3 linked regions of the Arabidopsis thaliana genome follow. The protein of the gene in region 2 interacts with the protein of the main gene of each other region in a pairwise test. Each region holds a gene or a part of one and is shown on either strand. Other genes may lie near its edges. The genes, in order: FEI1, AT1G33100 and ELIP2.

The links.
Region 1: the proteins of AT1G33100 (region 2) and FEI1 interact in a protein complementation assay, tested with the Arabidopsis thaliana proteins (one large-scale study listed by BioGRID).
Region 3: the proteins of AT1G33100 (region 2) and ELIP2 interact in a protein complementation assay, tested with the Arabidopsis thaliana proteins (one large-scale study listed by BioGRID).

What each region holds. Positions count from the first base shown.
Region 1 is NC_003070.9:11,246,534-11,255,778, reverse strand, and holds FEI1 (Leucine-rich repeat protein kinase family protein), read right to left. Parts: upstream 6,162-9,245; 5' UTR 5,420-6,161; coding exon 5,320-5,419; intron 5,230-5,319; coding exon 5,094-5,229; intron 5,019-5,093; coding exon 4,947-5,018; intron 4,870-4,946; coding exon 4,798-4,869; intron 4,699-4,797; coding exon 4,627-4,698; intron 4,333-4,626; coding exon 4,261-4,332; intron 4,178-4,260; coding exon 4,106-4,177; intron 3,879-4,105; coding exon 3,790-3,878; intron 3,697-3,789; coding exon 3,538-3,696; intron 3,432-3,537; coding exon 3,099-3,431; intron 3,024-3,098; coding exon 2,775-3,023; intron 2,699-2,774; coding exon 2,565-2,698; intron 2,482-2,564; coding exon 2,263-2,481; 3' UTR 1,864-2,262; downstream 1-1,863. Other genes in the region: AT1G31430 (Pentatricopeptide repeat (PPR-like) superfamily protein), read left to right, coding at 42-1,754; AT1G31410 (putrescine-binding periplasmic protein-like protein), read left to right, coding at 6,434-6,695, 6,776-6,915, 7,011-7,259, 7,423-7,557, 7,646-7,828, 7,964-8,125, 8,242-8,685.
Region 2 is NC_003070.9:11,994,113-12,002,893, reverse strand, and holds AT1G33100 (MATE efflux family protein), read right to left. Parts: upstream 5,395-8,781; 5' UTR 5,212-5,394; coding exon 4,948-5,211; intron 3,908-4,947; coding exon 3,366-3,907; intron 2,921-3,365; coding exon 2,834-2,920; intron 2,659-2,833; coding exon 2,602-2,658; intron 2,472-2,601; coding exon 2,233-2,471; intron 2,131-2,232; coding exon 2,012-2,130; intron 1,929-2,011; coding exon 1,842-1,928; intron 1,667-1,841; coding exon 1,586-1,666; 3' UTR 1,473-1,585; downstream 1-1,472. Other genes in the region: AT1G33102 (uncharacterized protein), read left to right, coding at 263-361; AT1G33090 (MATE efflux family protein), read right to left, coding at 6,352-6,432, 6,546-6,632, 6,732-6,850, 6,955-7,193, 7,328-7,384, 7,551-7,637, 7,879-8,420.
Region 3 is NC_003075.7:8,415,919-8,421,984, reverse strand, and holds ELIP2 (Chlorophyll A-B binding family protein), read right to left. Parts: upstream 3,744-6,066; 5' UTR 3,613-3,743; coding exon 3,478-3,612; intron 3,384-3,477; coding exon 3,282-3,383; intron 3,201-3,281; coding exon 2,856-3,200; 3' UTR 2,660-2,855; downstream 1-2,659. Other genes in the region: AT4G14695 (Uncharacterized protein family (UPF0041)), read right to left, coding at 1,140-1,188, 1,467-1,540, 1,638-1,690, 1,777-1,875, 2,098-2,152. UniProt on the Arabidopsis thaliana protein: Probably involved in the integration of pigments into the mature light-harvesting pigment-protein complexes.

The sequences.
Region 1 (9,245 bases), 750 kb from region 2:
ACTTTACATTCTCATTATCTCATATCATCCCCTAAAGAGACATGAACATGAGTTTGTTACAAACTCCATCACTTCTTATGTACAATAAGATGCTCAAATCTCTTGCTGATGGTAAAAGTTTCACGAAAGTTTTGGCTTTGTTCGGTGAATTGCGAGGACAAGGATTGTATCCTGATAATTTCACGTTACCGGTTGTTCTAAAGTCAATTGGTCGTTTGAGGAAGGTTATAGAAGGTGAGAAGGTTCATGGTTATGCTGTGAAAGCTGGGCTTGAGTTCGATTCTTATGTATCTAATTCACTCATGGGAATGTATGCTTCATTGGGTAAGATAGAGATCACACATAAAGTGTTCGATGAAATGCCTCAACGAGATGTTGTTTCTTGGAATGGGTTGATTTCTAGTTATGTTGGTAATGGGAGGTTTGAGGATGCCATTGGTGTGTTTAAGCGGATGAGTCAGGAGAGCAATTTGAAGTTTGATGAAGGTACAATTGTGAGCACTCTTTCGGCTTGTTCGGCTTTGAAGAATCTTGAAATTGGTGAAAGGATTTATAGGTTTGTTGTTACAGAATTTGAAATGAGTGTTAGGATTGGGAATGCGTTGGTGGATATGTTCTGTAAATGTGGGTGTCTCGATAAGGCTAGAGCGGTTTTCGATTCGATGAGAGACAAGAATGTTAAGTGTTGGACTAGTATGGTTTTTGGGTATGTTAGTACTGGTAGGATTGATGAGGCTAGAGTTTTGTTTGAGAGAAGTCCTGTAAAGGATGTTGTTTTGTGGACAGCTATGATGAATGGGTATGTTCAGTTTAACCGGTTTGATGAGGCATTGGAACTGTTCAGGTGCATGCAAACTGCGGGAATTAGGCCGGATAATTTCGTGCTAGTCTCTCTCTTGACAGGTTGCGCGCAAACGGGAGCTTTAGAGCAAGGAAAATGGATTCATGGGTACATAAATGAGAACAGGGTTACAGTAGATAAAGTAGTTGGTACTGCTCTTGTAGACATGTATGCAAAATGTGGATGCATTGAGACAGCTCTAGAGGTTTTCTATGAAATAAAGGAGAGAGACACAGCTTCGTGGACATCACTTATCTACGGTCTTGCGATGAACGGGATGTCAGGAAGAGCGCTGGACTTGTATTACGAAATGGAAAATGTTGGTGTTAGACTAGACGCTATAACATTTGTCGCGGTTTTAACAGCTTGCAATCATGGTGGATTTGTAGCAGAAGGCCGTAAGATTTTCCATTCGATGACCGAAAGACATAACGTCCAGCCTAAATCAGAGCACTGCAGCTGTCTGATTGACCTACTATGCAGAGCTGGTTTGTTAGATGAAGCAGAGGAATTGATAGATAAGATGCGTGGTGAAAGCGATGAAACTCTAGTTCCTGTATACTGTTCTTTACTTAGTGCTGCTAGGAACTATGGGAATGTAAAAATAGCAGAACGGGTAGCGGAAAAGCTTGAGAAAGTGGAAGTAAGTGATTCCAGTGCTCATACTCTGCTTGCAAGTGTATATGCATCTGCTAATAGATGGGAAGATGTAACTAATGTGAGAAGGAAAATGAAAGATTTGGGAATCAGAAAGTTTCCTGGTTGCAGCTCCATCGAGATTGATGGGGTTGGTCATGAGTTTATTGTTGGAGATGATCTATTATCACACCCAAAAATGGATGAGATCAACTCAATGCTGCATCAAACGACAAATTTGATGTTGGATTTGGAACATAAAGAAATTGATAGCTGAAACTTTCTTGTACATTCTCTAACTACTTCCCTTATCATTAACATTTGTTTCCCTGCTAATGAACCGGTTTTGAATCGATGTTGGTTTTGAATCGATATCAGCTTCTCTGTAACTGAATCAGGATTGATTGAGACTGAAGAAGAAGAAGATGAAGGAACATGGATTATTTCAAAAGAACATAAAGGCAGAGAGTAGTTTTTCTACAAAGGTCACAACTATACAATTCAATTTCATGTTCAAATAAAAGTTTTTATACCAAAAATCAGAACAAAAAGAGAAAGGGCTGAAAATGAATGGCTCGAATCTGGTAAAACTGGAGGGGCAAAGTAAATGGCAACACAACACAAAGACTCTGTTCCATTAACTGGAAAATTATGGCTCTTCGTTGGTATTTGCAGGTTTTCTCGGGGAGCAAAAACGGAAATCGAATAGCATTTGAAGGCTTTCCCCGGGAAACCGGACTCGGTTTACTTTTTTTCTCGAGGTTTCGACTGGTGGGTTTATGCAATTAATCAGAGCTGGAATCATAAAATTCGCTGGGACAAGGAGTCATGACCTCTGATTCAAGTAACTGGACAACCCGATGCATCGTTGGACGCTCTTCTGGACTCGGAGACACACACTGTGTTGCTATTGATAGTAGAGCGTCAAGGCTCTCCATCTGCATTCCTTCACAGTTTGGATCAACAATATCCCTTGGCCGTTTTTCGCTGATTAAGAACTTTAGCTGTAAATCATGAGTCAAAAGCTTTTTTAGTCAAGTTTGTCGTAACAAAATATCAGTATTGAAAAAGAATCTTATTTGCATACCCAACCAACAACGTTAAGGCCTTTCTCGATGAAGGAAGCATCGGTTGGTCTTTTCCCACTCAAGACTTCAAGAACCAAAACCCCAAAACTGTATACATCGGTTTTCTCAGTTGCTCTACCACTTTGCATATATTCTGTCAAATGGAAAAGTCTCAGCATTTGAAAGATCAAATCTTTATGTAAGTAAAGACTTTTAAAAGGCATATGTACCTGGAGCTAGGTACCCAAATGTGCCTGCAACAATGGTTGTGATATGAGATTCTTCGTCTTCCAACAACTTGGCTAGACCAAAATCCGATACCCGTGCCTCGAGATTGCCATCAAGCAAAATGTTGCTCGACTTTATATCACGATGTATAATCCGAGGAGAACAATCATGATGCAAATATGATAACCCTTTCGCAGCTCCTATGATGATATTTACGCGTGAATCCCAGTCCAATTGCTCGCCTCTCTCTACTAATTCAAGAACCAAACTTCTCAGTGAATCATTCATAATATGGAAGAGAGCCATAAAGAGCAGATTGATCATACCATGAAGTGCTTCATCAAGGCTACCACCGGGCAAGTAATCATATAACAGTAGCTTTGATGTTGGTGAATTGCAATATCCACGTAGATTCACGAGGTATCGGTGTTTGATGCTCCCAAGAATCTCAAGCTCCCGCTCAAAAAACCGATCAAACCCTTCGTTTAACTTTAGAATTCTCTTCAATGCAAAGACTTTGCCATCATCCATGGCCAGCTTATACACCGTTCCAAAGCCTCCACATCCAATTATGTGCTCTTCATTCAACATTTCCAGCTTCTTAATGATATCTTTGGAAGAGTAAGGTAAATCTCCGTGGAACATCACAATAGACGCACCTGAATTGAAAAAGTCACAATGAAGATTTAGGAGATAGAGAAAAATATGAAATTTCCCAATATTTAACGAGATAATATCTGTACAAAAAAAATCAATACGGCTCACCTCCACCAACATCCTTTGCAAGGCTTTTAATCTCGACTTTACCGAGCTTTTTATATAGAAAGCATCCCCAGAAACACATGAGTGCAACTAGGAGTAGCGCACCTACAGTTGCTGATGCGCTAATCAGCAGCTTACCAGAGTTTTTCTTTTGATTTTGACCTATAAAGTATAAGACACCAAATAAATATAACTTTACTGATAGAGAGCCACAACAAAACCTGTATATCACAAGAAATTCATAATTGCTTTTACCTGATTGAGAATGTGATGAAGGGTTTCCACTATCATCTTGGCACACGACATCAACATGCTTTCCACACAAGTTAAGATTTCCAATGAAGCTGTAGTAGTAACGCATCAGTTTGAGAATCATATAATTTCAGTCGCACTGATACAATCTAGCTAAATAGTTATGTGGTTCAAAAAATCATCTCGAATATAAGCGAAATATGAAAGATCAGCTGTATAAATGTAACTTTAGAGGATTGACAAAAAAAAAAAAAAAATGTAACTTTAGAGGCTTTATTTTTCTATCCCTACAAGAAGAAAAGGGTGTTTATTGTCTTACGAGTTCTTAGAAAATCCAGAGAGCACTCCGTCTGAAGGTATTTGCCCCACCAGGAAGTTGTTCGAGACATTGCTTCATAAGACAAACGAAACAGAAAGATTCACAGGACTGCAATATGATAAATTACAGCGGAAGTTAGAGATTAAGGTGCTCACAAGTTACTAAGCTTTTTTAACTGCCCAAGCGAAGCAGGGATAGGTCCACTGAGAGTGTTGCTTGACATGTCCCTTGAAAATAAAATAAAAAAGTCAAAAGTCAGTTTTAGTAGAGAAAAGAGAACAATCAATATGTGAATCTGAAGTAAACAATACATTATCATGCTTTTCAAATTGCTCACCAAGAGTTTAGGTATAACTAGTTCTGAATATAATGTGCATGAGAAGACATTATGCAGTCAACCATATGTTACCATGATCCTAGATGGTGATAGAAGTAAATGAAAACAAAAAACAAATAGATATTGCATACACTAAAAGAAGGATGCACTTGCAAGTACGTATAGGGAAGAGAAAAAAACATACAGCTTTTGAAGGCCAGGCAGGTCTCCCATTTCAGCTGGGATTGGTCCAGTGAAGTAGTTACTCTGCAAGTGACTGCAAAACCAGTTGGACAATTTTGATGACCATAAGCAACTGGAATTGGTCTCTCAGAAACCATGTGGAATCAGTATAAAATCCTGGAAAAGCGCTTACATTTCCTCCAATGCTGTGCAATTTCCCAATGCTGTAGGTATTGCTCCATATAAAGCATTGTTGTGAAGCATTCTGCAATGACACACAGATGATCAGAATCGAAGTACTCTCTTAAGCAATAAAAATGAATAAGGCTAGAGAGCACATACAAAAGCCTTAAATGGTCCAACTTTCCAATATCAGGAGGTAAAGGTCCCATTATTTTGTGATAAGTAAGATTCCTGCGAAACAAGAGTATTAGGGAGCACAAATACTGAAGAGAAAACCAGTAAACCTTGACAAGTTTGAAAACTTACAAGGTTATAACTCTTTTCGTTTTTGCATCACATGTCACTCCGTTCCAGTTACATGGATCTGGATCTTCCGGTCTCCACTGATGGATGAAACTATCTGATCTAGTAACTGCATTTCTGAAGCTCAGAAGCGCCTCGCCTGAAGAATGGAAACAAGCAATAAAGGATTAAAGCTCAATAAAAGGTCCAGGACGCTATGAATAGTAATAGTTGATTCATATCGACGTACCGTCAGGACTAATCGCTTGACTTTCATTAGATAGTGAGCAAAGCAACGAGATCAAAAGAAGCCATGAGCAGCAGCTTTTCATCTCACAGATGCCCATCATGGCACTGTCCAAGCATAATATAACTACTACCAATCATTTGAAAAGAACAGCCTCTTGGTTGTCAGTTATTAGTTGATTCCATGTCTATGTTCAAGTAAGAAACTAGACTCCTGAAAAACAAAGGAAAGCCCACAAAACTAATTGTCAATTACACTACACATTAAGCTCAGTCTCCACACAACTTATGCATGCTCTCATCTACATTTTGAGTACTCAAAACAGTGAAATTGCCTCACAAGAACCAATACACACTTTCCAATTGCTAAAATCAGAAAACGAGAGCTAAATTCGGCCAACAATCTCAAAATCATCATCAACAAAAGAGCTCAAAAACAGCTCTAGCTTAACATAGATTACGAAATTCCCAGATACCATCCAATCCTATAACACAATAACAACTGAAGATTCGAACAATATAACAAATCCAAAAAACGATTCAGCAAAAGACCCAAAACCCCACTCTTTCCAACAATATCAAAGGTTATAGCTTTAAAAGCAAACAGAATTAGTAAGAATTATAAGAACCTCTAAAAATGGATCCGAGAGGAGGAAGAATTGAGACAGAGGAAGAAGAAGATGACTAATTTGAGCTGTAAAGCAAAAAAAAAAAAATATAACTTAAGGAGAAGATAAAAAAAACAAAAAAGGAATCGACTTTTTATTTTGTTTGTGTGATTTATGGTAAGAGTGAAGAGAGAGAAAACTAGAGTGAGAGAGAGAGAGTGTGTGAAGAAGAAGAAGATGCTTTCTTCTCCAAAGCATACGACCAATGAGAAGAAACGAAGTGGGTCTCGCACGTGCCGATCTTGACCTCCCACACGTGTCAACCGACGCTTTCTTCATAAAACCCAATTATTATTGCCAGCTAGACCTTAGCTAAGCCTAATCTCTACAATGGTCGAAATCATTGGGCCCATTTTTAAGGCCCATTACGGTATAAGCCCAGCGGTTTGATTGAACCGGTTTGAGATTAGAAGCCATTGTTGTCCGTTGTTTCACCATCGCGTTATATCGATGGCTACGGCGGCGATTATTTCCGTGAAACCGCCGGCGAGCTTCTACTGCGGAGGAAACCGACGCGACGGAGGAAGGGGAATCACCATTGCACGAGTTTCTCGAGACGAACGGTTTCATGAGAGGATCGTTGGTCTCTCTGCCTCGACCGTGTTGTTCATCGGTTTAAGTAGCCTCCGCGTCTGTTCTCCGGCCTCCGCTCGAATACTACCACCGCCGATTGTCGTTACAGAGAATGAAATCAACACAGAAACTGTAGCTGGTGCGTGAAATTGAACATTTTCGTCACTCTTGGGATTTCGATGGATTTGAATTTTGTGTTCCAATGGAATGTTTTTGCAGGTGAAGAGAATCTAAATGAAGTTGAAGATGAAGAAAAACTGGAAGCTGATTTCGAAGCGTACAAGTCTAAAGTGTATTCTCTTACTGTCCCGCTAAAACTCGTTGCCTTGCGTGGCTCAGTGCCACCATCATGGATCAAGGTTTTAGTTTCACTTGTCTGTGTTTCCATTTCTATTTTGAATCTTAAGCTTATAGTTGAAAATGTATGTTGTTGGATTCTGTGAATGGAATTTAGGAGTTTATGAGCTCACAAGGGAAGAGAGTGAGGTTAAAGACTCAGTTTCGAGGAAATCTTGAAGAGATCTTTTTCGATCTATCGAAACCAAGTAAGAATGGAAAAAAGGGGGCTGCTTCAACTGCAGCAGCTGATATGATCAGCATTGGTGATTCTTGGCTTAGTTTTGCTATTAAGGAAAAGCTAATTGAGCCAATGAAAGGGATAGAAGATCAAGACTGGTATAAAGGCTTGAGTGATAAATGGAAGGTGAGAATTTAAATCAGTGGTTTAACAATATGAATATGAGTCTTTTTGAAAGAACACTAGCTTGAGAGATTTTAATAGGCATAATCTTTCATGTGTTTTGTTTTCGTACTCTGCTAGCTTGGGAATGTTCATAGGGTTCATTTCATGACTTAGAAAGTCTCAGATTTATCTCCGCAGGAACTATGCGGGAGAAAAAGCTCCTGACGGTGAAACGTGGGCTGTGCCATACCGCTGGGGCACCATGGTTATAGCATACAAAAAGAGCAAATTTCAGAATTATAAATTGGCACCGATAGAGGTTGGTATACTTTGTTGTTGCTAAATGCTGTCTTAGTGTTTTCCTATTTAAAAGAAGTGAATATCACTGAACATTTTGCTGAATTTAGGACTGGGCTGATCTGTGGCGACCCGAGCTTGCAGGAAGGATCGCAATGGTGAATTCTCCTAGAGAGGTTGTTGGTGCTGTTCTCAAATACATGAGAGCATCATACAATACGACAGACCTGGATTCACAAGTTCCTGGCGGAAGATTAGCAGTGGAGAAAAATCTGGCATCACTCATGAAACAGGTTATTACCTCTTTACTATCTCTCCATACCCTAAAGAGAACAGATGAGTTTAGGCTGACGTGTTTCACTCAACCTCTATAGTTATTGAGAAAAAATGACAATGGTGGCTGATCTTGTTTCCCCTTTTGCTTATAGATTAGACTATTTGATAGTAACAACTATTTAAAAGCTTTCAATGTCGGAGATGTCTGGGTCACTGTTGGTTGGAGCAGCGATGTTATCCCTGTCGCAAAACGTATGTCTAATGTTACAGTGATTGTTCCCAAATCCGGTGCCACCTTATGGGCTGATCTATGGGTAAGTTACCGTCGTAAAATCACTTAACCCTTCATCTGATATCTTGAATGCTTCTTGTTCTAAAGACGATATAACATATCTGGACACTAAACCGTGAAGCATAATTGTTTTTCAAGGCGATCCCGGCTGTTTCTGACTCTGGTAAAGAAGCAGAACAAAGAGGAGGACGAGTCCGAGGCCCATCTCCATTAATCAACCAGTGGATAGAATTCTGCTTGCAACCTGCAAGATCGTTACCATTCACACGGGAAGTAATTCCTGGTGCATCTCCTTCAGCTCTTGATGGTCCTCTGGTTACAGAACCCGAAAAAACAAAGAAAGACAGAACAAAACTGGACACAAACCTGGTCACAGGTGTTCCTCCTCCGGAGATCTTGTCTAAGTGTGAGTTCTTGGAACCTTTACCAGAGGCTACGCTATCGGAATATCGGCTTCTGATTGAAACTGTAAGGAAGCAAAGCCAAAGACCTGGCCTTGTGGAGAAACTAAAGGACATTGTTTCAATTAAGGTTCGAGGATTTAGGGCAAAGCTTGACTCCGAGATGAATAAGAACATTTGAGAGACGGACAAAAGTGGAAATGGAATCATTTGTATGATTACATAGAGCAACTTCATGTTGGTTAACATAAGGGGTTTTCTATCTCCTTATAACAGAGTATCATGTCATGAAGAGCCAGAGGCTGATCGCCTTTGCTCATGTTACTAGTTAGTCGTTAGTTCAAACACTATAGATGCCAAAACAAGTGTATAAATTAAATTAAACTACACAAAACGCCTAATATAACCTAACATTATTTAATTTATTGGCCATCTAAGAGGTAAATATCATGTAAAACGGTGTTAATGAATGCTTTGTTTTGAAAATGAACAAGGGAAAGTTAAATGTTCTTTTTCTTGGGACTATCAGCCCAACAATGAGCTATGAAGAGCCGAAGCGTTTTCACATTCCTCAAGTTTTCGTAATCAACGCGAGTCACATTCAAACACGTATTATATGCTTTTAAAGTGAGTGACTCTGCGTTTTCTCGATTCTGTTTACTTATAAAAGTTGTTGTGTGATAATTTTCTCTATCAAGTATGGTAGTGTGACACTCGGTTCTAGGATTTAGTCTCTCTTCA
Region 2 (8,781 bases):
AATAAGTTTTCGACTTCTAGTCGGATGTCAGTCTACTAGAGTAGTCCGGTTTTTGTTTTCTCGCGACGGCGAGACTAATCTCTTGTCCAACTGCCCCTCGAGGTTCATCCGATCCTCCCAATCATCTCGAGGAGTAATATCTTCATTATCTTTCTTTGTTCGTGAATTTGGAGCAATGTTTCGACTGCATCAGTAAAGGTGTTGTCTGTGATGGAACTTCCCAGGAGTTGGATTTGCTCGGAGAACTCTTGAAGCATACCATATGATAGATCTGGAGGTTCTCGGCGTTTACGGCTTGGGTTCGAGATCGTCAGACAGGAGGCAACCACCCATCGCTCCACGACGGATCGACGGTGGCTGATCTAAGGCGGTGATGTTTGGCGAGAAAAACACGGCAGCGCTCGATCAACTGATGCGTGGCTTGATGAAGCAGAAGACTTCAACACGTGTCAGCATCTAGGTTTTCTTAAAACTTAGGTTGTATTTTCATTGTAGTAATTGGGCTTCCCTCTGTAGTAGTCCTTTGAACTTTCTTAATGAAATATGGTTGTAAAAAAAAAAATTGGTAGAAAGACTTAAGAAATTAAATTATTTAAGATATTGTTATATAGATTAGAGAATTCTCCCGAACAAATATTATTTGTTCTGTTTGTGAAGTCTCGTTTAATCTTTACATTCTGGTTCAATCCAACGGTTCAATACCACAACTATTCTTCTGATCCAACAAAGATATGTATTTGTTTTTAAACCCAAATTAGTGGTTGATACCAATTTGGCATTTAAATTTTAATAAATAATTGTAGAAAAAAATAGATATAAATCTGCAAATGACATTTAAAGATAAAAAAGAAATGTATGCATATTTCTATTTTATATGATCATATGAACAACAAAGGGGTTTGTGGTTGTGAATAAGGATTTGTTAAAGGAAAAAAACAAAACAAAGCTACGACAAGAGGAGGCAAAGAAGTCTACGTAAGCAGTCGCGTCACTGTAGTATTAGATCGGTATTTCCTTACAAAAGCTGTCCTTTTTTCACAATCGATCAATCATCATCATGAGGTCACGAACATGAAAACATTTTTAAAGTCACCAAACAAATCCAAAAAACTGTAGTAACAAATGGAGTAAATTATATATATATGCATGGCCAAATTTACGTTTCTTGGTACTAACAATATTTTGGCTATGTTTACGGGCAAAGGAGACGATTCTAGTTCTACACACATAATGACATAATACAATAGAACACCGAGAGAAAAAGAGTATATATAACTCAAATTCAACACTAAGCTGATTATATTCAGATAAAAATCTCTAAGCTAAATCATGTCTTTGAGGTACTACGAAAATTGGAAGCTAAGAGGGCTGTTGCTACGGTGGTTCAGTTCAAGATTTAATGGACCGTAACGTGAAGGTCTGTTTTTTCTTTGTATGCTCTTGTTTTTGTGTAATTCACAAGCTCCTTAAAAACTTCTGTAAACAACCTTTATTTTTTATCAATTTTTTTTTTCACATTTCATAAAAAAGGAACATCATCATAATCTTTAAATCTATCATATCTTCATATCATAATCCAAATTAATTATTCCTCTGATGAAATTTGATTTGCATCTCTAGATTCTGGTACAACCCACCGGTTTATATTTCTCAACGACGTAGATACCTACAAAAAAGTGGCAACAAACAGTATAAGCTGCAATCCAAGAACATAGCTTGCTTGAACAAACTAATTATTATTTTTGCTAAGGAACAAACTTATTATTTTGGAAGGAGAAACTACAATTTTTTTTCTTAAACAAATTAATTCAGGGAATATTATATAGTAATCAACTTCTGACCTGTTGATCCCAATCTGTTCTGAGAGTCATGACGGTGAGCACACAAGTCTGAACGAATATTCCAAAAAGCATTCCTATCCATACACCCTTCAAAATTAAAGAAGTAAAGTTTTATGTTAGTTTTATTACTTTTCAACATAAAAGAAAAATATATAAACTGAAAAACTTACTTTCACTTGCAAACCAACAACATAACCAAGGATAACACCAATAGGAATTCCGACAAGGTAATAGCAAGCAAGGTTAACGTAAGCCACATATCCTTGCCATCCCGCTCCGATTGCCACTCCTGTTAAGGTTTTAAACCAATTATAGATAAATACTACTCCAAATATTGGTTCGAATCCGATACTATAATAACCATTACGCGTCAACTAGCTAAAATATATACCAGAGAGAACAGGTTGAACACTGTTCAAGAGGATGGAAAATGCTAAAAGTGGAGAAAGATCAGCAACTTCGGCCGCGACAGCTTCACTTGTAGTGAAAATGTAGGAAATTCTTCCCCTCAAAAACAAAAAAACGAAGAATAGAACTATTCCTATAGAGAGTGACGTGAAAACCGCTATCAATGTTGCAAACTTGGCTCCTTTGGGGTTTCCACTACCGAGCTCGTTGGACACTCTTACACTATTTATATAGATAATTACAAATAAGATGATATATAAATAAAAGATCATACCAAGAAAAAAAGATAATATAGAAATAGTATCAATAAAGTGAAGTGTGTTGTATATAATCTATATATGTATCAATGCACCTTACTGCTGCCAAAAACCCAAGTGCTATCATCATCTCCAGTGCATTTATGCTGATGCTGCGAAGATAAATGGAAAAGATTAGTCGATTTATAATATATTATTTGTATGTACCATTACTCATACAATACTATAACTTATGAGTCAAGTTAGTACTAAAGAAAATGTATTTATGTTTCAATGTTTTGTATGGAGATCAGAATAGATATAGAAGGTCAATTCTTGTTTATTTACCAGATTGCTAGTGCATCAAGAGCCACCTCTGCGTTTTTCAAATTTCCAGTGAGCAATACCAATACCGAGTTGTACCATAACTCCAAGCTGTAAAAAATAACGACCACAAAGTAATCATCATCAATTTTTAAAAAGATAAGTAAATTAGAAAGAAAAAAAAAAACAAAAGAAAAAAGTAACTAGAACTATCATTAAATTATCAGTGAATATAATATACTCCTAAAAGTAATTCACCAAAAAAAAAATATACTCCTAAAAGTGTGTATAATATACTCCTAACATTCTCAGGAGTATATGCGTAAATGTAACAGTCGGATCAAATCCTACAAGATTGATAATTATATTATATAGTTTACAGCCTGAAAACTAATACATGGACTAAGTATATGCATCAAGTGGAACCAATCTCTTGTTTTGACCAACAATGACAATGAAAACTAAAGCTATCAGTATGAAAACATTTGGTTGATCCACTACTAGCTAATTCCTTAATTAAGTGTTCAAAACACAAAACAAAAATAGGAAACCTTACCAAAGCATTCCACCGGAAGACAAAGATAGTTTTAAGACGGGCCACAAATCTTTGAAGGCCAACATAGAGAATCCTCTCCATGTATCCTTACATCCACCACATGTTACATACAAGAGCTGCACAATGATAGGCAACCAGAACGCAATTAGCATAGAGGTCATCGCACCAGTGATCCCAAAATTGAAATGAGCCACTAGGAGCCACGAGAAGAAGACATGGAGCCCTAAGGAGACAGCAGTCACGTAGGAAATAATCTTGTTCTTGCTCTGAGCTTGGAGAAACATTTGGCAAGTGAAGGAGGGCACGAAGGAGAAGTTGATGCCTATGACCCATAGGGCTAAGACCCGAGCCACACGAACAATGCGTTCCTCTTGACCTAAAGCTAAGAGGATAGGGCCCGCAAAGATGAAGACGGGCATGAGGCAAATGGTACCACCTGTGAGGACGATCCATGACCTTTGGAGGTAGATCCCGAGCATCTGGTATTGTTTGGCTCCGTAGGCTTGACCACATAATGTTCCTAGTGCACCGGCCATACCTAACTGCAGTAGAACAATAGTTATAACCAAATTTGAGACAGCTGTAGTTTTGCATTGTGTAGTTTCAAAATAAATGTTAACCGGAATTACATATCCAAAAAATACTCCAAAACCATATAAACTTATACAAATTTTAATTGAGTTTGATAATAGTTTCTTCACACGACCACCTAATCTGTATTAAAAATTCAAATAAGTGAGACCAAATTTTATAATATAGTTTTGGTCTAACTTATTTTGAAAACGTTTCGGAAACGCAAAAATTATTACGGAAACGCGTTTCCTAAAAATCCATGTTTGGAAACACGATGAAAACTCGCGTTTTTGAAATAGACATACGACAAATATTTTTTATTGACTTTGAAAATTTAATAACTAAAATTGGAAATATTAAGATTATTAATACATATAACTAATTTTGGAAAACTCTTAGTTTTAAGATTTTTTTCTTGATAAACCAGATTTGAAGAGAGTTTTATATTATCTTTGATGAAACTAATGAAAATAAGAATAAAAATGTTGGTCTAAATTAGATATTAAAATTTGAATCTTTTAAATTTTAATCTTTATCTTTTAGAATTTTAGTTAGCTTATTTAATATTGATAGTTTAGACTTATATTGTTTAAATCATTTTTTATTTAATATAGTTTTATGTATATATATATATATATTTATATGTTTTTAAAACGTTTCTAATCTCTAATTTTAATAAAAAATTGATTCCCGTTTCTGAAACGTTTCGCATCCGCGTTTCTGTTTCCGTTTCCATGCAACTTAGTTATAGCATAAATTCACCTACATGTTTTTTTTTTTTAATTTTCACCTACATGGTCTGACCTTGTAATATAGTTATTTCTTAATCACTAATAATCAAGAGATTAGATTAAATAAAAATTGAAGTAGTACTCACCACCACGATACCATTACTGAAGCGGAGAAGAATCCATAGTAATCAAGGGATTCATTAGATTAAATAAAATTGGAAAAATTGATATAAATGAAGCTACGTATACCATTACCAAGATCGCTATAGTAAACTCACCAAGATACCATTACTGAAACGGAGGAGAATGGTGAAGGTGATAGAGTAAGCGGCCAACTCGGTTGGGCCAAGATGGCCAATGAAAGCTTGAGTTACCATTGAAACTCCGAACGTAGAGTATCTTGTGAAGATCGCTGGCGCCGCCACAACCCACAGTTTCTTTGATTCAATCCAAACCTTCTCCTTCATCCCCAACTCATCCTCTTCTTCTCTGCCGGTCTTTTTCACCAGAGCCTCCGTGAGCTCTCCTCCTCTTCCGGCCATCGTGGAGTCTATGTGTTTTTATCTGATAGGAGGAAATAAATAGAAGAAAGAGAGAGCAGAGAGTTTGAGTTTAAGAAGCAATTTTTTTTATATTTCAGCTGGGAAACAAAAGGTCGTCAACGCCTTTTGTAGCAGTGAGTGACTAAGTGATGAAAATACTCTAAGAAATAGATGCATTTTAAGATCACCTAAGATCGTGCATTCATCGATCATTTGTTTAAATGCAATTATCTATAATTCATATCTAAACTTTATCTTTATATATGCTTAAAAAGTGTGTGTTTGGAAAGTATATTGGAATAAAACAAAATATTTTTATCAAAAATATAATTATTCATATACATATTTCTTGGTCGTGAGTCTCGTGTCTATGTGTTGCATAATAAACCCATTTAAAAAAAATAAAAATATAAAAAAAAAATCAAGAAACGAGCATATCAAACTACAATAGTCAAATTCTTGTTCTAAGCAACGTAAGCAATTACAATTTTTAGTGAATTAAGATTGTCGTATATATTTATTATGAGGATTTCCAGAATCAAACGTTTATTTTTCTTTGTCAAAATGAATCAATCAATTTAACGTTTTAGCCACGAAGATCTTTTAAAAATAATTACCAATATAATTTCTTTAAACATGTTTGTACTTTTCCTATGATAAACGAAGAAATTTCATTTTTTTTAAATGGTAATCAGTTTATAAAACATGATTATTTTAATCTCTTTTAGTGTCATCATAGTAGTAAGCACACAAATTTCCCCAAAATTCCAAAGGTACTCTCTTCTTTTTATTGGTCATACCCTAATTCGCACTATTTCAATAACTAGTATATCTCAAAATTCTACCAAAGTTTAATTTTACTATGAGTTAACATGTTGGTGAAATTAAAGAACTAAAAGGGATTTTATCTTTTAAATAGCTCATTAATAAATTTTAGTTATCCTCTTCTTTGATTATAATAAATTATATAGATTGTACTCTCTTTTTTCATTGTACCACAACAACAACAACAACAACAAAAAGCCTAATAAATTACCATCAAAATTTATTTCATATTGAAAATCTGAGTTAGAAAGAACTATTGCCCAAAATAACATCATAATTATATAATATCTTTGTTCATATCATAATCCAAACGAATTATTCCTCTGATGAAATTTGATTTGCATCTCTAGATTCTGGTACAACCCACCGGTTTATATTTTTCAACGACGTAGATACCTACAGAAAAAAGTGGCAACAAACAATATAATTAAGCTCCAAACCAATAACATAGCTTGCTTGAACAAACTAATTATTTTGGAAGGGGAAACTACAATTTTGTTTATTTAAACCTGTTGATCCCAATCTGTTCTGAGAGTCATGATGGTAAGCACACAAGTCTGAACAAATATTCCAAAAAGCATTCCTATCCATACACCCTTCAAAAAAAGATAAGTAAAGTTTTATGTTGTTTTCAATTGTTAATTTTATTACTTTTGTTCATTATGAAGAAAAAATATATAAAGAGAAAAACTTACTTTGACTTGCAAACCAACAACGTAACCAAGGACAAGACCAACAGGAATTCCGAGAAGGTAATAGCAAGCAAGGTTAATGTAAGCCACATATCCTTGCCATCCCGCTCCCACTGCCACTCCTGATAAGGTTTGAAACCAATTAAAGGCATATACTACGTTTCAAATATCAGTTCGAATTCGATACGATGATAACCATCACGCTTGAACTAGCTAATGTATATACCTGAGAGAACGGGTTGAACACTGTTCAAGAGGATGGAAAATGCTAAAAGTGGAGAAAGATCAGCGACTTCGGCTGCCACAGCTTCACTTGTAGTGAAAATGTACGAAATTCTTCCCCTTAGAAACAAGAAGACGAAGAATAGAACTAATCCTATAGAGAGTGACGTGAAAACCGCTACGATTGTTGCAAATTTGGCGCCTTCGGGGTTTCCCCTACCGAGCTCGTTGGACACTCTTACACTATATATAGAGATAATTACATAGAAGAGTGATATATAAATAATATTAAGATCATACCAAGAAAAAAAAAGATAAGATATAATTAGTATCAGTGAAGTGAAGTGTATCTGTGTATAGTATATATATCAATGCACCTTACTGCTGCCAAAAACCCAAGTGCTATCATCATCTGCAGTGCATTTACGTTGATGCTGCAAAAAAGAAATGGAAAAGATTAGTCGATTTGTAAAATATTATAATTTGTATGTTACTCTATTTATACTCATACCATATTTTAACTTAAGAGTCGAGTTAGTATAAAGAAAATGTGTAGTATGGAAACCAGAAGAGATATAAGGTCAATTCTTGTTTATTTACCAGATTGCTAGTGCATCAATCGCCACCTCTGCGTTTTTCAAATTCCCAGTGAGCAATACTAATATCGAGTTGTACCATAACTCCAAGCTGTAAAAAATAACGACCACCAAGTAATAATCATAAATTAAAAAAAGTAAAGTAAATTAACAAGAAAAAATCAAACATATAACAAAAGAAAAGTAACATGAATTATAATAAAATATTCAGTGTATAATATATATGCGTAACTGTAACGGTCGGATCAGATTCTCAGTGTAAAAGTATCACTAATTGATATTTATATTGTTTGCAGAGCTTTTAGATTCCATAAGCTTTTAGGAAACCTTACCAAACCATTCCACCGGAAGACAAAGATAGTTTGAAGACGGGCCATAAATCTTTGAAGGCCAACATAGTGAATCCTCTCCATGTATCCTTACACCCACCGGATGTGACATACAAGAGCTGCACAATGTTAGGCATCCAGAACGCAACTAGCGTAGAGGTCATTGCACCAGTGATCCCGAAATTGAAATGAACCACTAGGAGCCACGAGAAGAAAACATGGAGCCCTAAGGTTACAGCAGACACGTAGGCGATGATCTTGTTCTTGCTCTGAGATTGGAGGAATATTTGGCAAGTGAAGGCGGGTACGAAGGTGAAGTTGATGGCTATGAGCCATAGGGCTATGACCCGAGCCACACGAACAATGTGGTCCTCTTGACCTAAGGCTAAGAGGATCGGGCCTGAAAAGATGAAGATGGGCATGATGCAAATGGTACAACCTGTAAGGACGATCCATGACCTTTGGAGGTGAATCCCGAGCATATGGTATTGTTTGGCTCCGTAGGCTTGACCACATAATGTTCCTAGTGCACTGGCCATACCTAACTGCATTAGATTAATAGTTATAACCAATGTTGAGACAGTTACATTGTAGTTTCATGAAATAACATATATTCGAAAAATACTCCAAAATCATATATTATAAACTGAACCAAATTTTAATTGAGTTAACCGTGTTTTAGGCTGATGGGTTTAATTCCTTAAAGCGATTTAGGTTCAAATTTGGTTCTCTATATATATATTTTTAAGCGGTCTATCTAAATAGTTGGAAAATACTGAAATTGATAAGAGAAGTTCTCCCAAAACTAACTAGTTGAACACAGGCTCACAGAAGAATTAAACAACTCAATTGTATTCTTTCACATAATTAATTGTTTTCAGTGTATTAAATGAAGCAAAAAAAAGT
Region 3 (6,066 bases), on a different chromosome or scaffold from region 2:
ATTTGATTTGAAGATTATAATTTTACTATTGACTAATGACTGAAATATTTAGTTTCTTTGAGATTTTAATATACATTGAATCATATATATGAAAGAAGACTAACTCTCTCCCACAACTTGACACATCAGCACATGAGAGCTTGCCACCTATACTTCATAAAATAAGTAATACATAATTAGTAATTAATTCAACATAACAACTAAAATATGAGAATATAATTAATGAGAACTTGAAACATCACTCTTTTTACATTTTTTTAATTCAATATATCCTCTTTAATTTTGAGATCCACTTAAGTGGCTAAAGTGATGATAAAATCCAAACATGTTACACATATTCCTAGCCTAAAAATTAGACGATTATTATGAAAGAAACTAAATGAATATGCAGATTAAATATATCTAAGCTTTTCGAGATCTATGCTAAGAAAACAAGTAATTTGAAAGATATTTGAGGAGCTATCCTTATAACTAATACGTAAGATATAAGATTATGACAAGAACTTAACTAAACTTTCCAAGAACATCAAGTTGAATATGCTTAGATTGAATATGCAGAGATATGATTAATAAAGACATGTTATATTTTTAGTGTAAGAAATAAATTTTCTAAAATTTCACCGTCTCACAATCTATACATATAACTGAAAAAGCAAGGATATATAAATTCAAAAAAAAAACTGAGAATCTAAAACAACAATAAAAACAATTCAATCACATTCGTTTTTCAGATGAACTAATATAGTTGGGCTTTTCAAAAACAATTACAAATCATATTTATGTTTCAAAACCTATGCATTCAATTTTACTTTATATGAACAAACATTATATAAAATAATTTGTAAATAATACGTAAACCCGCACGTAGTGCGGGTACTCATCTAGTCATTGATAAAGAGGTAACATATTTTTAAGAGATATAGAGTTATTATTTTGATCTAATTACTGATTAATCTTACATAAACTCAACTATCAATCTTGTCCCAAATAATATAAAAATCTTTAGCAAGCATGTAACGTACCATTCACTATCTAACAAAAATCCAAACATTGGCATATGCTACTAGAGGTCCATTAACAAGACAGTACTAATGAACGAACATTTTCACATGTCAAATGTTTCATCTTTTTCATCATCATCATCCTTCAATTTCAACAGCAGCCTCTGCTTCAGATACATAATCATACCTAATATCAAAAAAAAAGTTAATAAGCATTTCATTGATGTATCAAAAGATAAAATCATACTATCATAGACAATCATCATAAAAATCGAGTTTAAAATAGCTTCGACTCTTTGTTTGCATTACATATTAAGCAAAATTTCCTTTGCTGATTGTAAACGCCAAACCAAACCTTTCTGATTGCGTTTAACTTAGCAAAAGAAATGTTTTATATAGTAAGCTGATGAATTTGTTATCTATGTTAAAACACAAGCAAAACAAAAAAGTGGGTTTGATTCTCACTTTATTTTGCGAGTAAGTTGGTATATCCCTGTAGCTGCCATAGCAACATTAACACTAAACAGGTTCCAGTTTTTCTGTTAAAAAAAAACAAAAGTCCAAAGAATCAGATCGATAAACCAAAACCAAGAATCCAATCACAAAAGTAAAACTCGAAAAGCAAACAAAACTTACAGGAGTAATTATAGTGCTGCAACGACACCAAATCATTCCAGTGCATGTCACAGCTAATACAATAATTATGGATAATATGTTTATAACAATAATTGTAACAAGAAAGATTAGAGATTTCTGAAGAGTAGTAGTTATTTACCAATTTGCTGAAGGTACGAAATATTTTCTGGAGGTTTCTGGAAATCTGCAATGTTAGCAATGCTTATACCCCACTTAAATGTTGGAGCCCAGAAATGAACTGATTAATACCCAACAACAACAACAACAAAAAAAGAGAGAAACTGTTTACAATTAGAATATATTATTCATTAGAGGATTTAAAGTGATATAGATTTTTTTTTGTCAAGAACTGTACTATAAACAATTCAACATTTTCCAATAGTAACGTTTCAATAGAGTCTTAATTGAAACGGAAGAAGAAAGAGTAATATATTATTGATGAAACAATGTGATAACTCACTTGTCTTTGGTCCTGCCGGGTGATTCCAGAGAGCTTGAAGCTTAGACGTCGCCATCAACTTTTGTTTTCCTCGGAGATTCTCTTTTCTCTGTCTTGTTTCAGTCTCCTACATAAATATTAACGAAATGATGCTACTCAAAACGACGTCGTATAAGCAATATGTAATTGAGCCACTCAAATCTTTCCGATTATATTCATCGATCGTACTATCGTGTAGTGTTGTAGTGGCCAGATCTTTCCTCTTTTAAGTGTTTTTTTGTTTGTTCATCTTAATATATTTTTTTTTGTTCTTGGGAAGCATTGACGCTTTGATTGGGCTTTGATGAGACTAACCCATGGGCTTGAGAATTGAGATGAGGTGATTTGTTAGAGAGAAATCGCATTCAATTTCGTTTCGTCTTGGAACTTGCTTTACTTTCATTATGGCAGACACATGATGACTCTATTGGTCGATAATAACAAGGAAGAGCATAATTAATTATTCTTGGCTCTTGATTCATTTCAAAAGAATGCATAAACTCTCAAACCTTGGATAGAAGCTAAAATTTATTTTTTACTTCTTCTTCTCCATTCACATTATCTTATAAGAAAACTTTTGAAGTACTTTTTCAAATAAATTTTTATAATGTTTTTTTCATGGTTTTAAATTTTGATTCATGTTGACACACTGTTTAAAACTCATAGTATTAAATCAATCTATGCGTTACATAATCATTCTCCAAATTTGTCCTTAAACTAGCAAACAAAAAGCTTTAGCTTTAGACTAGAGTCCCACCAGTGACGTACTCGGTGAAGGCCAACGCAACGAGACCGAGCATCGCAAACCGACCGTTCCATAGCTCGGCGTCTGAAGTCATGAACCCTTTTGACTTTGCCTCTGCCCTTATTCCCTTGAACAACGGAACCATCGATGCCAACGTCAACAACGCTGTTGTTCCTAGAAACCACCCGACACCACCGTCAGAGATCTGAGCAAACACGTTTTCTCCCTTTGATAACTCCATGGCGATGGCCGCCACGAATCCAACCATTGCTAGTCTCCCGTTGATCCTCTCGGGTGCTGGACCGCTAAACGCTAGCAAATCTCCAAACTTCGTACTCACCTAGACAATAAGAAAATTATTCATTAGCTTCATTTTTTTAGCTAGTGATATATATTAATGACTTTGATCATTAGATCATACCTTAGGCTTGCTAACTGGTGGAGGAGGAGACTGTGGCATTTGTGGTGGAGTGGCCGAAGTCGAGGTCGAGGGCACAGAAGGATCTTCCTTGATAGGATCGCCCTAAAAAAATAGTCAATGTAAGGAACGGTCAGGATTAAAAGTCAAATAAGTAACGTAGGGAAGTGGAAGGACTATGAGGTTAGTGTATATATACCTGAGCCATGCATCTGACTCCTACCGGAGCAATCCTCTTGAAGAAGAGTTGGTTTGTGTTTCTGATGTTGCGTGTAGTCAATACACCGGAAGGAGCAGCGAACACTGACTGCATGTTAAACGACGCCGTTGCCATTTCTGATTAGGTTTTCTAAAAGCCGAAGATCGATGAAGAAGAGAGAAATGAATAAATTATAAGACTTGAGAAGTGAGATGGAGTTGGTTTGAGGTGTAACTGTAGGATTATCTCTTCATTTATAGAGTTGGTGAAGGAAAATGATAGGCCCAGTATTTTCTGGATTTTATTTATCTTTACTGATTTATGGGATACTATGATTACTTATTTTATTTTTGTTTTTGTGTGGTGTGTAGTAGAGTAATAAATAAGTAGAAAGAAATCTATCAAAGAAAAGAAAAAAACTGAATTCAAACTTTTTATTCCTTTTTTTTCTTTTTTCCACTTTAAACTTTTTTTTTCTTTTGGGGAAGAAAAAGTTTCCTCAGAATAAATGTTTTCAAACTTATGAGATTTTTTCCATATTTATTGTAACACCTAACAAATCAGTTGGTCATTCGTTTCATTATTTGTAAAACTACCATATTAAAATTATACAAATAAATCGAATTATTTTGCTCGAAATCGTTAAAAATGTGAAAAAAAAAGAAGAATATATCGATATTTGGGTTGAACGCTAAACACAAAAACACGTAGCCAATAAAATTTGAGAAATGAGAGGAAAGTGAGGTTGAGATCGGTGAGAGGCCACGTCTAGTTGGAAAAGTGCAAGTAAACTGATGGCGTGGCCTCCTCATTACACATAGATACACATCTTCCTTGTCTTTTTCTGATTGGTCATGGCCAAGTGGGTTTGGCAAAAACACGTACAAATTTTTTTTTTGTCTCAAAATGTTAATAACAAGTTAGTGGCTCACAATATTCACTTGGGACTTGGGAGATTCGTTTTTGGTATAGAGAGAAGTCGCATTCAATCTTGTTTCGCGCGTATTGGAACTTTCTTAACTTTCATCATGGCAGACCCATGATGACTCTTTTGATCCTTTATGTGTCCCATTCATGTCTTCGTGCCCAATTCTCCTACGTGCGCTGTTTTTTTTTCCAGATTAGAACGGTAAATAATAGCACAATTGTGAAGATATGGGCATAGTCTTCGTGTCGGTATAGTCTCCTTTTCTATTGTCTTTTGTGTGTGAGTTAATTTCTAAATTTGTAACAAGGAGAAGAGAAACCTCTATTAGTGCTTGTAATACTTTTTGCTTGATAGTGAAAAGTTGTGGGAGACAGTTCCCACCCGAGACGTACCGGTTAGAGGCCAGGAGGCAGGAACTCGGTGATCAAACTCTTGTGTCAATTTCTAGCTTAAGCAATCTAACGTTCCACACATATAGAAAACTCAACAACAATTATTTAGATATGAATGATCAGATTTGATGTACCACCATCGATATGTGCTCTCTGCGAAAACTCTTTATATATACTGAAAGAAAACATACACCCACATTGGTAGTTTTTTTTAATGGATTTTACTAGCAGAGGATAATAAATTTATCGCATATATTACTTACATTTGTAGTTTCAAATACGAAAAAACTTGACCATTAGTAGTGTGAAGTGTGTAATTGATACTTTTGAGTTCAGGACGAAAAAATGTTCACGTCATTCGTGAGGAAATAAGGCATTTAGACTCAAAAGTCCAAACATGTGAGAAGGTCCTCGAAAGGGCGAACAATAAAAAGCCCCGAAGCCCATAACACGAGTGCCTTCTTATCCCCATGAGTCTTCGAGTGGACAAAGAGAGAGAACAACTTTGGGAAATTTATAGTAGTTTGTGAAGACTTCATATAAAAATTGTATTTATGAGATTATTGTGTTTTAAGAGGAGAGACGACGAGGGTCATCATTCATTTAATTACTTTTAACATTATAATTAAGTTCTGATTTATCCGGTCGTTTATGTAATTTATTGATTATATACTTAGGTTATTTAGCCGGCCACAAGGCCAAGCAAGCAAAACATAAGCTTGCGGCCGCTAATCATATTATTATTTAGTTTTGGCCGAATTTGCATAAAAATGTAGTCTAATGGTTAAAGTTTCAGTATTTGAGTTACAAGTTCCTTAGTTCAAACTTTGACAATGTGTTAAACTAATTTTTTTTTAAACGACAGAATCACTAAATAAATAAATATTATGTGGCCCATTTTGTTTCTCTTATTGTAACCCCGTGAAACCCGGGGACGACTAGGTAACAAATACTCTTTGGGTTTTCTTATAAATCAAATGCATATCTTTGATAAACTAAACCATGAAAGAAGGAGTTTTTTTAACTGATGAATTGATGATTATTGAAGTTGATATAAGTTAGATTCAAGTTTTGATGTACTGTATTTGGAACAGAAATGTTATAATATCTTACTAAAGCCCAGTTCGGAACAAGGCCTTACCCTTATTTAAAGCCCCAGTAGATCTGTTTTGAATTGTCGCTATGAGTGAATGAGGATGGGTAGGTCGACCCTCAGAATTCTTAATTGGCACATGTTGAATGTGAGCCCAAAGCAGCCACCAATAAAGT